2 linked regions of the Anolis sagrei genome follow. The protein of the gene in region 1 purifies or fractionates together with the protein of each later gene. This does not show direct contact. Links are inferred from orthologs where the notes say so. Each region holds a gene or a part of one and is shown on either strand. Other genes may lie near its edges.

Region 1 (7,326 bases):
TAGAAAGGGCCTAGAAGGTACATAGCAACAACAATGTATTTGATTAAAGGATATGAACCTTAAACCTATGAAAGGATGAATTGTCAATAAAGAACCACTACATTATTTTACTACACTGTGATATTTTTCACTAATCTTGGCATTAAAGGAATTTCATCCCAAATATAAGCATATGAATTATTACTGTAAGTGCGTGGCTTTTAACATCTCAGTTGAGTATTTTCCTTTTGCCCAGAAGATGGCAGCACGTTTAGTATTTCCAGAAAGCAAACAGTTGCCATGGTAAATATAGCGTAATATTACAGCTGTTCCCTCCAGTGCTAACACATTTTAAAATAAATCAGGAACAGAAACTGCTGCATATGTAATACACGCTTAAATCAACACTTCCTGAAAATCCTTAAATCATTTTAACACCAAGTTGCTGGTTTTTGACATTTTTTCTTCCTATGAAGAAAAAAACATCTCCATTTTAATGGAAACCAATTTAATGTACCATCCTGCGTGCTCTGGCCAACAGGGCACAGAAATGTATTGCTAAAAGTCGGTTGTCTTTTGAAAGCATCCACTTTTGGCAGGCATCCTCCACTGCTTTCTTCTCTCTCGAGTCTAAATGTAACGGAAAGAAAATGAAAACCATATTTTATTTTTTCCCAATGGAGATGTCAATCCAGGGAGGTTTGCTTTCCCACTGCTCTTTAGCATCAGCAAGTCAACTAAGAAAATGAGACTTCCAGAAAGTGAGAGAAAAAGAAAGATGCAGCAGGAGGAAAAGAAGATGCAGAAAGAAGGAAAAGTCTAGGGAGGGGATGCTGGCAGATTGAAGCCCAGCTTGAGCCCTTTTTTTGTGTGTGAGGCCAGCAATGCCTGTGGATCTCATCTAATCCCATCGACAGCCAACTGAAGAATCCTATAGCTACGTGCCCTTTGGCACATCTGCCTACCCACACTATTTCTCCTGGCCATCTGTCCTACACTGGCCAGGGCTCCCTCCCTTCACATCTGGGCCTCCTTCAACTTCTCTTGTTTTCTTTTCGGGTGGAGATACTCTGAGTGAATTCATACAGGTTGAGTGTCTTGCATCTGAGATATTTGGGACCAGACATGTCTAGGATTTTTGGATTTTTTTCAATTTGTGTTCCAAGAGTATGCACATGAAGTCAGCCCTCCATGGATGCTGCATCCAAGGACTCCATCATCATCATCATCATCATCATCATCATCATCTTTATTTATACCCCGCCACCATCTCCCCAATGGGGACTTGGGGCGGCTTACATGAGGCCCAGCCCAAACAACAATTACAATAAAATAAAACACAAAAACACACAGCAATGCAATAAAATACAAAAAGATATGAATACAGTAAGCAATACAAAATATAAAATACAGTATCCACAATTACAATGACATTGAGCGTGCCACATGTACAGGAAAAACACTAAAAACTCAGGGTGAGATAAGGAGGAGCAGATTATTTATGAGGGAGAGCACATAAAAGAGTGGAGTTGTAAAAGGGGGCATTAATATAACCGGGGAATGAGTGCTCAGCTATCCAAGGCTTGAAAATAGTTCCTCCAAAAGCAAACTTTGATTTTGCCATTTGATATATGCAATTGCACATAATGACACTATGTAACACAATTTGAAAAAGATTCTGTTCCTAGTTTGAAAGTGTTATTTCTTGTTTGATTGTGAAGCACTTACTTTGAAAGTGTAGTTGTTGTACTCCAGAAACTTCGTTTTTGTGGCTGCCAAAAACTAGGTTGAATGGGTTGCCTCTCAACGAGATATTCATTGAAAAACTAGAGCAAAACGTCTGCAGGATGTTCTGCAAAAAAACAAAACAAAACAAAACAATTTTTTTTGCAGTTTAATAAACGCTTTCCATAATTTTATGATATAACCAATTAGGAAATGACATTGATAACCCAGAAACAAAAATTGTATTACATAGTGTTGTTATAAATACTAGGAAACAACCTGAATGCAAACAACTGCAACAACAGAAAGCTGGCATTAAAAAAAACCAAACCCTTTAATAACTCCAATTCTAATCCTGCTCTTCCTGAAAGTCCAGCATTGCATGTATATCTATGTCCTCCATCAACCAAATATGGCTCAAAAATATTTTCCCAAAACCAAGCAAGTAAACTCCAGAAAACAAACCTTTATTTGCCATTTTATCTAAAAGACATTTTACTATGCTGCTTTATATAAAGGGACTCAAGTATCCATGGATACTAAGTACATACTGTATCTCCTCAATTCGAAGACACACTCTCCCCCCCCTCCCCGCCATAAATATTTCTAAAAACTGGGTACACTTTAGAATCCTATGTGTTTTACGTGCATGCACATATATACTCTATACAAGTTTCAGCTTTGTTTCTCCTGTTGGTAGTAACGTCTCTTAGGCCCCTTCTACAGTGCCACATAACCCAGAATACCAAGGCAAAAACCCCCACAATATTTGCTTTGAACTGGGCTATCTGAGTTCACACTGTCATGTATTCCAGTTCAAAGCAAAAAAAAAAAAATGTGGTATTTTATTCAGCTCTGTGGAAGGGGCCTGAGGCAGCTTCTACACTGCCATATAATCCAGATTATCTGCTTTGAACTGGATTACATTATTATTATTATTATTATTATTATTATTATTATTAGAAACATTTATATTCTGCCCTTCTCATCCCAAAGGGGACTCACAACATATATACGGCAAGTATTCCATGCCGGAACATAAAATAAGTATAAATATACACAACCATTAAAATTAGTTATATCTACTTTAACATCAGTTGTTTAAAACCATCTCAAAACATCATACCGATTCATATAGACTCATATAGTCCAGTTCAAAGCAGATAATGTGACTGTACAAGGCATTTTAAACTTGTGTAGAAGGGGCAAGGTTCCTGAATGAAGTCTGTAAACAAACGTGTAGCAAATGTGAAGTTTCTTTTTTTTATAATTTATGCTGTATTTTATACTGTCTTGTTATATATGCCAATAAAAGCCTATTGGATTGGAGTGTAGAAGAATTAGAATTAGTCCTTAGAATCGAAGTATGGCATTTTTCTAGAGTGGGACATGAAGGCACAATTGGGGGTTATGAAAACTTTTTTGAAATGTAAACTGGCTTTATAGGAACGTGGAACAATAAAACCTCAAAAAGACTAGATGTACTCCATCACACAGCTTTTCCCTCACCACTTGCTTTGTTGTTTCTATGGCCACATCTACACTGCCATATAATGCAGTTCCAAATGCCATGTATGGTCAGTGCTGGCTCATATAATGCATGTAGGCTGCATTATATGAGCCTACAAACCCTTCCACGCAGCTGTATAAAATCCACACTGAACTGGATTATATGGCAGTTTGGACTCAGATAACCCAGTTCAAAGCAGATATTGTGGGATTTCTGCCTTGATATTCTGGGTTATATGGTTGCATGGAAAGGCCCTGAGTCCACATTGGCATATATTCCAGTTCAAAGCAGAAAATGTGGGATTTTATTCAGCTGTGTGGAAGGGCCCTCAGATCAAAGCACATATTCCAGGTTGTATGGCTGTGTGGGAGGGCCCTGAGTCTACACTGCCATTTAACCCAGTTCAGAGCAGATATTGTGGATAGTCTCCCTTGATATTTTGGGTTGTATGGCTGTGTGGAAGGGCCCTGAGTCTACACTGCCATTTAACCCAGTTCAAAGCAGATATTGTGGATTGTCTGCCTTGATATTTTGGGTTGTATGGCTGTGTGGAAGGGCCCTGAGTCTACACTGCCATTTAACCCAGTTCAGAGCAGATATTGTGGACATTTTGGGTTGTATGGCTGTGTGGAAGGGCCCTGAGTCTACACTGCCATTTAACCCAGTTCAGAGCAGATATTGTGGGATTGTCTGCCTTGATATTCTGGGTTGTATGGCTGTGTGGAAGGGCCCTGTGTCTACACTGCCATTTAATCCAGTTCAATGGGGATTTTAGACAGTTGTGTGGAAGGGGCCTGTGTGTGTGGCACATTTTTGTGGGAAGGCAGGGCCCAAAACCACAAGAATACTGGATGCAAACTTTTCTTCCCCTCAGCCCTGCCTGTGAGGCGCCCCTTCTTTCCCCTCCCTCAGCCTGGCTGGGCCCAGCTCCAAGTGCGCCACATCTTTCTCTCCCTGACAGGGCCAGGCTCTGGAGACGGGCGCGCGTGGAGACCAATCCGCTCCCAGACCGCCTGACGCTTTACCCAATGGCGCGGCTTGGGGGGCGGGGCCGGCGGGGCGCGCGAGCGACGCGCGGGCAGCCGCGGCCACTTCCCTCCGAGGCGGCGGCGGGAGAGGACCTCGGCGCGATGATGCGGCTCCGGAGCCCGGCGCTGCTGAGGGACCTGCTGCGGCTGAGCCAGGGCGGGCCGCCGGGGGTGGCGGTGACGGGCGGGGGCTGCTGCCGGAGGCCTCCGGAGCTGCGGTGGCTCCGCCCGGCGCCTTCCCTGCGCCTCGTGCCTCGCTCCATGTGCACCCGCTCGGAGGGGATCCTGGAGGAGCCCGGCAAAGGCCCGCCGCCTGCCTCCGCCTCCTCCTCCTCTTTGGAAACGCCCAGCAACAACGGCGGCCACAGCGCGGGCCCAGGCCAGGAAGCCGGTGGATTGGGGGACGAGTGAGTATTCAGGAGGGTGAGAAGGAAGGAAGGGAGGAGGGGGCTTTGGAGGGGAAGGATGCTCTGTCTGTTTGTCTGTCTTCCTTCCCTCCCTTGGCATGTGACAGGACGCCGCCGCCTTGTGCCTCTTGGACGGCAGCAATTGAAGTTTCCGCCTCCTCTCTCTCTCTCTCTCAGGCCAGCCATGTGGCCTTTTTGGAGACTGTAGAATTGGCCCACTCTTCCTCCTAACTGCCAATGGTACGCGGCCCTGGGAGTTGTAGACACCGCCAGCACTCTTCGGCAAGGAAAGGTGGAACTGCAACTCCCAGGATGCCAAAGCGTTGAGTCACAGGCAGTCCAAGTGGGGCCAGGCAACATCAGGGCTTTCCACAAAGCCACACAACCCAGAATATCAAGGAAGATCATCCCACAATATCTGCTTTGAATTGGGATATATGGCAGTGTTGACTCTAAGTCTTTCCACACTTACACACAACCCAGAATATCAAGAAAACCCCACAATATCTGCTTTGAACTGGGTTATAAGACAGTGTTGACTCTGAGCGCTTTCACACAACCCAGAATATCAAGAAAACCCCATAATATCTGCTTTGAACTGGGTTATATGGCAGTGCTGACTCTGAGCCCTTCCACACAACCCAGAATATCAAGAAAACCCCATAATATCTGCTTTGAACTGGGTTATATGGCAGTGCTGACTCTGGGCCCTTCCACACAACCCAGAATATCAAGAAAACCCCATAATATCTGCTTTGAACTGGGTTATATGGCAGTGCTGACTCTGAGCCCTTCCACACAACCCAGAATATCAAGAAAACCCCATAATATCTGCTTTGAACTGGGTTATATGGCAGTTCTGACTCTGAGCCCTTCCACACAACCCAGAATATCAAGAAAACCCCACAATATCTGCTTTGAACTGGGTTATGTGGCGGTGCTGACTCTGAGCCCTTCCACACAACCCAGAATATCAAGGCTGATCATCCTACAGTATCTGCTTTGAATTGGGTTATATGGCAGTGTTGACTCTGAGCCCTTCCACACAGCCACACAACCCAGAATATCAAGACAGGTCATCCACAATATCTGATTTGTACTGGGGCCTTCCACACAGTTGAGTAAAATCCCACATTATATGCTTTGAACTGGGTTATATGGTAGTGTAATAATAATGATGATGATGATAAGGCCACCTTACTGGGATCTGCACACATTATTCGCTGATACATCACACAGTGCTAGACACTTGGGAAGTGTCCGACATGTGATCCAATTCAACAGCCAGCAGAGCATCTGCTGTGGACTCATCTTGTTGGGTTTTTAATAATTATAATATAATATAATAATAATATAATATTTTTGTGTCTTGAGCAATTGCAAGTTGCTTCTGGTGTGAGAGAATTGGCCACTTGCAAGGACGTTGCCCAGGGGACGCCCTGACGTTTTACCATCCTGTGGGAGGCTTCTCTCATGTCCCCGCATGGGAAGTTGGGGCTGACAGACGGGAGCTCAGCCTGCTCTCTGGATTTGAATAATTGACTCTTCGGTCAGCAGTCCTGCCAGCACAAGGGTTTAACCCATAATAATAATTTATTTATAACCTGTCCTATCTCCCCAAGGGGACTCACAGTGGTTTCTGCACAAAAAAGTGGCAAGCATTCAATGCCATTGATAAAAACACAAACCAAACCAAAAGCACAACAACATCAATATAACTTACAATAAATAAATTAAAAAAATACAGAGTAATTAATAAAAGCATAAACAATTAATAAAAGCATAGTGTTGACTTTGGGCCTTTCCACACATAGTACTCAGAATATCAAGGCAGAAAAGCCCACCATAGCTGCTTTGAACTGGACTGTATGGCAGTATTATAATATATTAATAGTAATACTTTATTTATAACCTGCCCTATCTCCCCAAGGAGATTCAGGGAGGTTTTCACACAAAAAAGTGACAAACTTTTAATGCCATTAATGAAAACACACAAACTACTGTTTGTGCTGAAGACTCCCATGGTCCAGTTGTCCAAAGGGATGCTAGTTGTAAAAGCAGTGTATATATTATTTATTAGATTACAAGCAGTCCCTGAATTACAAACGACTTACACCTAACAACAGGAAGTGAGAGAAATCTTCCCCTCAGAAGGAAAACTCACTTCTGTAAGAGTTACTCTCATGGGGAAAAGATGTCTCCACCGAAGCTTTCTCACCAATCCTTGTTTCCACAACAAGCCTTTTTTTTTTTTTTTCAAAATCCAGGGACAGAAAGTGAGGTGAAATCTTCTGAATGGGCACAGACAGCAAAACAAACTCCACACACATGTTCCCTATACTATCCAAAGCTTAATATGTTTGGCTGGAGTTACACTTAAAATGTACCTGTTCCAATTCAACTTAAGAACAAACCTATTGAACTAATCTTGTTCATAACTTGGAGACTGCCTGTACTGGTGAAAAGAAACTCAGTAGCATTACTGATACTTAACAATTAGCTGCCATTAACTGTCAAGTATCACCACCACATGTCATTCTCGCCTGACTTGGGGTGCACGTTTTGCTCTAGAATGAATGCAGCTTGACACTGCTTTAACTGCCATGGCTCAATGCTAGGGAATCATGGGAGTTGTAGTTTGGTGAGGCACCAGCACACTGGTGGAGAAGAAGGCTGA
Region 2 (6,961 bases), on another chromosome or scaffold:
GCTGATGGAATCATTCCAGGAGTTGCATGTGACGTCTGTAGACAGTCCACATTTCACAGGCATACAGCAGGGTTGTGAGGACAATAGCTTTATAAACAAGCACCTAAGTATCCCTACGGATGTCCCAGTCCCCAAACACTCTCTGCTTCATTTGGAAAAATGCTGCACTCGCAGAGCTCAGGCGGTGTTGTATTTCAGTGTAAATGTTGACTTTTGTGGAGATGTGGCTGCCAAGGTAGCAGAAATGGTCAACATTTTCTAATGCTACACCATTAAGCTGTATTTCTGGCATTGGAGAAGGATTGGCCGGTGACTGCTGGAAGAGCACTTTGGTTTTCTCGATGTTCAATGACAGGCCGAGTTTCTCATATGCTTCTGTGAAAGTGTTTAGAGTGGCTTGTAGGCCTTTTTCTGAATGTGCACAGATGATGTCATTAGCATACTGGAGTTCTATAACATGTTGTTGTAACCTTAATTTTGGCTTTCAGCCTGCTGAAATTAAATAGCTTGCCATCTATCTGATAGATGATTTCCATTCCAGTGGGAAGCTTCCTGTCAACAAGATAAAGTATCTTAGCGATGAAGATGGAGAATAAAGTTGGGGCAATAACACATCCCTGTTTGACACCTGATTCCACCTTAAATGGGTCACTTTGGGAACCACTGCTGTCCAGGACAGTTGCCATCATGTCATCATGAAGGAGCCGCTGGATGTTCAGAAATTTGTTGGGGCACCTGACTTTTTGGAGCATGGTCCAGAGAGCGCTGTGGCCCAGTGGGTTTCTGTATCCATGGTTCAAAAGATTGCAGTTTCGTCTGTAAGAGCATCCTGGGCAGGCCAGCAGTGATCTGCAGCTCAGGAAAGGAAAGGTTTATTAAAGAGAAGGTTTTGTGTCAGTAAAGCGACACAAAGTTTCACTTTAGAGAGGAAAAGTTACAATCTAGGATACTTTTATTGGGGGGTTAGCTACAATGAAACAGGGTGAGCTCAGTTAGGTTTGTTGTTCATTCGTTCAGTCGTCTCCGACTCTTCATGACCTCATGGACCAGCCCACGCCAGAGCTCCCTGTCGGCCGTTACCACCCCCAGCTCCCTCAAGGTCAGTCCAGTCACTTCAAGGATGCCATCCATCCATCTTGCCCTTGGTCGGCCCCTCTTCCTTTTGCCTTCCACTTTCCCCAGCATAATTGTCTTCTCTAGGCTTTCCTGTCTCCTCATGATGTGGCCAAAGTACTTCAACTTTGTCTCTAGTATCTTTCCCTCCAGTGAGCAGTCGGGCTTTATTTCCTGGAGGATGGACTGATTGGATCTTCTCGCAGTCCAAGGCACTCTCAGCATTTTCCTCCAACACCACAGCTCAAAAGCATCGATCTTCCTTCGCTCAGCCTTCCCTAAGGTCCAGCTCTCACATCCGTAGGTGACTACAGGGAATACCATGGCTTTGACTAGGCGGATCTTTGTTGTCAGTCTGATGTCTCTACTCTTCACTATTTTATCGAGACTGGACATTGCTCTCCTCCCAAGAAGTAAGCGTCTTCTGATTTCCTGGCTACAGTCTGCATCTGCAGTAATCTTTGCACCTAGAAATACAAAGTCTGTCACGGCCTCCACGGTTTCTCCTTCTATTTTCCAGTTGTCAATCATTCTTGTTGCCATAATCTTGGTTTTTTTGACGTTTAGCTGCAACCCGGCTTTTGCGCTTTCTTCTTTCACCTTGATTAGAAGGCTCCTCAGCTCCTCCTCGCTTTCGGCCATCAGAGTGGTGTCATCTGCATATCTGAGGTTGTTAATGTTTCTTCCAGCAATTTTCACCCCAGCCTTGCATTCATCAAGCCCCGCACATCGCATGATGTGTTCTGCATACAAGTTAAAAAGGTTGGGTGAGAGGATGCAGCCTTGCCGTACGCCTTTCCCAATCTTGAACCAGTCTGTTGTTCCGTGGTCAGTTCTTACTGTTGCTACTTGGTCCTTGTACAGATTCCTCAGGAGAGAGACAAGGTGGCTTGGGATGCCCATCCCACTAAGAACTTGCCACAATTTATTATGATCCACACAGTCAAAGGCTTTAGAATAGTCAATGAAGCAGAAGTAGATGTTTTTCTGAAACTCCCTGCCTTTTTCCATTATCCAGCGGATATTGGCAATCTGGTCTCTCGTTCCTCTACCTTTTCTAAACCCAGCTTGGACATCTGGCAACTCTCGCTCCATGTATTGCTGGAGTCTTCCTTGCAGGATCTTGAGCATTACCTTACTAGCATGAGAAATAAGGGCCACTGTACGGAAGTTTGAGCAGTCTTTCGCATTTCCCTTTTTTGGTATGGGGATATAAGTTGATTTTTTCCAGTCTGATGGCCATTCTTGTGTTTTCCATATTTGCTGGCAAATGGCATGCATCACCTTGACAGCATCATCTTTTAAGATTTTAAACAGTTCAGCTGGGATCCCGTCGTCTCCTGCTGCCTTGTTGTTAGCAATGCTTCTTAAGGCCCATTCAACCTCACTCCTCAGGATGTCTGGTTCTAATTCATTCACCACACCGTCAAGACTATCCTCAATATTATTATCCTTCCTATACAGATCTTCTGTATAGTCTCGCCACCTTCTCTTGATCTCTTCAGCTTCTGTTAGGTCCCTGCCATCTTTGTTTCTTATCATACCAATTTTTGCCTGAAATTTACCTCCAATGTTTCTAATTTTCTGGAAGAGGTCTGCCACAACCGTCCCGTCTTGGGTGGCCCTTCACGGTTTCGCTCATGACATCATTGAGGTGCTCAAGCTCCAGCGCCCCGACAAGGCGGTGATCCTTTGCTGGAGTCAGTTAGGTTAGAAGAGGAAAATCTCTGTGTTAAGGCTGCTGGTAGAGCCACAGTCACTTTGTCTTTATCAAGTCCAGGTTCTGAGGAACTGCGGAACTCCCTGCTGTGACTCAGCTTGAAGTCAGGGACCTGTGTGCTCGTCCTCATTGTCAGTAGGTGACTTGTGGCATTTGGCAGCAATTCCTCTAGCGGATTTTGAGTTATGATGTCACTTATATATAGCATTTATAGCAAATAGACTAGCCGTCTCCTGCCACACGTTGCTGTGGCCCAGTCTTTTGATCTGAAAAATAAAGTAATGAGAAAGTGTTGGTTTCTAATATATGTGATTTCTTTATGTTTGTGGGTAAACAGTATTTCTTGCTGTTTCTTTGTCAGTGTTGATGTGGAGATTGTCTCGTTTGACTACTCTGGAACATGCAACATATAATTGTCCTTCTTCAGGGGTCCCTTTCAAATCTATGATACTATATCTGTGTATGTGTGAATCATATATATCTCAATATCACAACTACAACTCTCTATCTATCTATCTATCTATCTATCTATCTATCTATCTATCTATCTATCTATCTATCATCTATCTGTCTCTATGGCTGGATGGCTCTTTGTCAGGAGGACTTTGATTACGTTTGCTTGCCCTGATGAAGGGAGGCCTTAAGTATTTTCCGTTGGTCATGAGGGTTCTCTGTGGGAAGTTTTAGATAGATAGAGATTCAGTTACATAGATTTAGCTTTCTCTGCCAGACTTGAAAGTTGCTCTTCAGTAGCAGTTCCCTTGTCACTGAGATATTCCAGGCTAAAAGGGGTTTAGATCTTTGTAACAGAGGATTATGGATTTTGGGGGGAAGGAGATGCCCCCTCATGCCTTTCATTCTCCCGAATACTAATCCCCTCAGAATCAATGGGTTTGGGCCATTGTAGGCCGTGAGGAGGCGGTTGCTAGGCAACGGGGAGGGCGGGGCCGCGGGGGGAGAGGAGACGTGCCGCGCGCCACGCAGCGCCGCCTCTTCTTCCACTTCCGCCTCCTGAGCCTATCAGAGGCGGTTCCTGCAATGAAGTCCGCCCCTTCCTTTCCTTTCCCTTCCCTTCCCTTCCTCCTCCTGGCCTTGGAGTCTGCAGTTCGGCGGGAGGACTGACGAGGTGAGTCGCCCTCCATCTCCTCTACGTTGAGGCAGCCACTTTGGTCGGGAGTTAGGAAGAACGACGAGAGTTATCCTCATGTTGTTGTTTTATTTGTCTCTTTATTTCCCTCGGGTTGCAGCTACTACACTGTAGAGTTAAGGCAGTTCAGCACCACTTTTACCTGCCATGGCTCAGTGCTATAGACTCTTGGCAGCTGTGGTTTGACAAGGCGGAGAAGGCCGGAGGCAAAGCCACAACTCCTGTGAGGCCATAGTATGAGCCCTAGCCATTCAAGTGGTGTCAGACTGCATTAATTTTAGAGTGTAGCTGCACCAGAGGAAATGGTTTCCCTCCATTACTCAATAAACCAGGCATGGGCAAACTTCGGTCTTCCAGGTGAACATCGGATCTCTTACAAGATACTGATCCTGACATTTAGAGCTCAAAATGGCCAAGGACCTTTATATCTTAGGGACCGCCTCATTCCTTTTCCCCATCAGTGGTCACCTCGATCCACCCAGGAAAATCTCCTCTACATACCGGGTCCTAGGGAGGCACATTTGGGAGCTATAAGGCGTAGAGCTTTTTCGATCAATGCTCCAATTCTGTGGAACTCATTGCCTCCATATATTAGAGCAATGTCGGAGTTGCGACCTTTTGCAAAGGTGCTCAAGACTTGGCTGTTTGGCTGTGCATTTAAGTAACTGGATCAAATTTTGCCATAGTCACTGCTGAATGTTTTTATGTTGAATGTTTTTATATTGAATGTTTTATATTGTGTATTTTAAATTGTAAGTCGCTCGGAGCACCTTGGTGGAGAGCGACTAATTAAGAAATAAAGTGATGATGATGATGATGTTTTGGACTCCAACTCCCACAATTCGAATTGTGAGAGTTGGAGTCCAAAACACCTGGAAGGCCAAAGTTTGCCCATGCCTGCAACAAACCTTTCAATGCAATATTTATTTTTGTGTTTTGGGCCCAAAAAGTGGAAGTTATTTGGTTTGCTTCCTTCGGGAGGCCTTTCTGTCTGTTTTTTGGGACACAACAGTATTACCACACTATTATTTTATGTATTTATTTATTATTCAAACTCATATTCTGCCACTCCCCTGGGGCTCGGAGCGGCTTACAAGAACAGGCTAAAATCTAACACAATTTAAAAACAGCAATACCAAAGATCAAAGGCCTGTCGAAACAGATATGTCTTACATGCCCTGCGGAAAGCTGATAAGTCCCGCAAGGCACCGACTTCAGGTGGCAGAGTATTCCAGAGTGATGGTGCCACTGCTGTAAACGCTCTGCGTCTGGTTGCTGTTAGACGCAAGGTCTTGACATTGGGAATTTCAACAAATCTTGGTCCTCAGAACAGAGGGATCTCTGGGGTTAGTAGGGGGAGAGGCAGTCCTTCAGGTACAGCAGCCCCAGACCATGCAAGGCCTTAAAGGCGAGTACCATCACTTTGAAAGTGATCCAGTGTTCAATTGGTAACCAATGCAGCTGCAGTAAGATTGGTGTTATGTGGCATCTCATCGGAATTCTTGCACGAAGCCGAGCAGCTGAATTTTGTACCAACTTGGGCTTCCGGATCACCAACAGAGGAAGGCCACTGTAACTGTAACACAGGAAGGCCACTGTTATTCCACTGTAACTGCATGGAAACCTTATGTGGTTCATAATTTAGTGAGGCCTGGAAGCCGATTCTAAAAGCAGGCAGTCCCCGAGTTACAAACACCTGACTTACAAACAACTTTAGTTAAGAACGGGGTTGAGACAATGGGAAGGGAGAGAAATCTGCCCCCCAGAAGGGAAATTGGCTCTGGAAGGAATTATTATCATTTCGAAATTCAATGATCACACGGACAGAAAGCGAGGTGAAATCTTCTGAACAGGATCACAGACAGCAAAACAAACACCACAGGAGTGGTAACCCTTTCCTATGCTATCCAAATATAATTTTTGGTTGGAGTTACACTTTAAAAATATATATGTTTCAACTTTTATACAAATTCAACTTAAGAACAAACCTATAGTGCCTTTTTTGTAACTTGGGGACTGCCTGTATTCCAGGTTGCCGTGGCAGTTAAAATGAAAGAACATAACTAAAATAATGTGGTGTAAGATAGGGCCCTCTATCCCCAAAATGTATAGCATTTTTGCACCCTATATTGTTATAGCTATCTCATTTTGCTTTAAATGCCCATGGCAGCATGATATGGAATGTTGTAATTTGCAGTTTTGAAACTTCTCTGCTAAAAAACTTTTGGATCTCACTAAATTACAAATCCCAGAACTCAAAATGACAGTTAAAGTGAGATAATAGTGCTGGAGCAGTGTAATGTAATGGAGCTCTTGTCTTTGTAGTATCCCTCATTTTTAAAATGAGGGTGTGAACTTAATTTTAATTCCAGTCATTCATATGAATGGATTTGTTAGTTACCGTTCATCTAACTCATTGTTTGCATCTAAAATTGGATTTTGCCCAAAATGTGTGAATCTCCTTTTGTGCATGATTTGGTAGTTGTTCATAGGGTCAGTATAAGTTGAAGTTGACTTGAAAACAGTTAATAACAATCAGAGTACTACCAAGTCTTTTGCTTTGCATGTTACATCTCGCGTTTGAAGTTTTATAGTAAGCATAGTTCAACTGGTGTAGACAAATGTGCATCAAGGCCATTTTAACTTATGGAGATACAATTAAATCGCTCAGCAAATAATTTCATGGTCAGTTGGTGTTCAGTGCACTGTTTAATAAAAGAATCCCTTACACAATAGACATGTTTTTCCAGAATGGAGCACCTGACATCTGGGGTAGCAGGGAAGAAAGGATAGACGAGGACAATGGTGGTTGGTTGATTGATTGATTGATTGATTTCTGTGTTTGTGTGCCTTCAAGTCATCTGCCAGCTTAGGGCAAACCGATTCACACAGTTTTCTTAAGCATGGAATATATGAAGGTATTTTTGCCCATTCCTTCCTCTGAAAGATAGTCTACAGTAGTAGTAATGACAATATTCGTT

The links.
Region 2: the proteins of GLS (region 1) and SIRT5 purify together in Homo sapiens (affinity purification with western blotting; 3 studies listed by BioGRID and IntAct, with this or other methods). This does not show direct contact. The link is inferred for Anolis sagrei from reciprocal best matches to the Homo sapiens genes GLS and SIRT5.

The regions. Positions count from the first base shown.
Region 1 is NC_090021.1:182,826,616-182,833,941, reverse strand, and holds the start of GLS (glutaminase kidney isoform, mitochondrial), read left to right. Parts: upstream 1-4,300; 5' UTR 4,301-4,344; coding exon 4,345-4,649; intron 4,650-7,326. UniProt on the Homo sapiens protein: Catalyzes the first reaction in the primary pathway for the renal catabolism of glutamine. Plays a role in maintaining acid-base homeostasis. Regulates the levels of the neurotransmitter glutamate, the main excitatory neurotransmitter in the brain.
Region 2 is NC_090024.1:80,003,424-80,010,384, forward strand, and holds the start of SIRT5 (NAD-dependent protein deacylase sirtuin-5, mitochondrial), read left to right. Parts: upstream 1-3,862; 5' UTR 3,863-3,959; intron 3,960-6,961. UniProt on the Homo sapiens protein: NAD-dependent lysine demalonylase, desuccinylase and deglutarylase that specifically removes malonyl, succinyl and glutaryl groups on target proteins.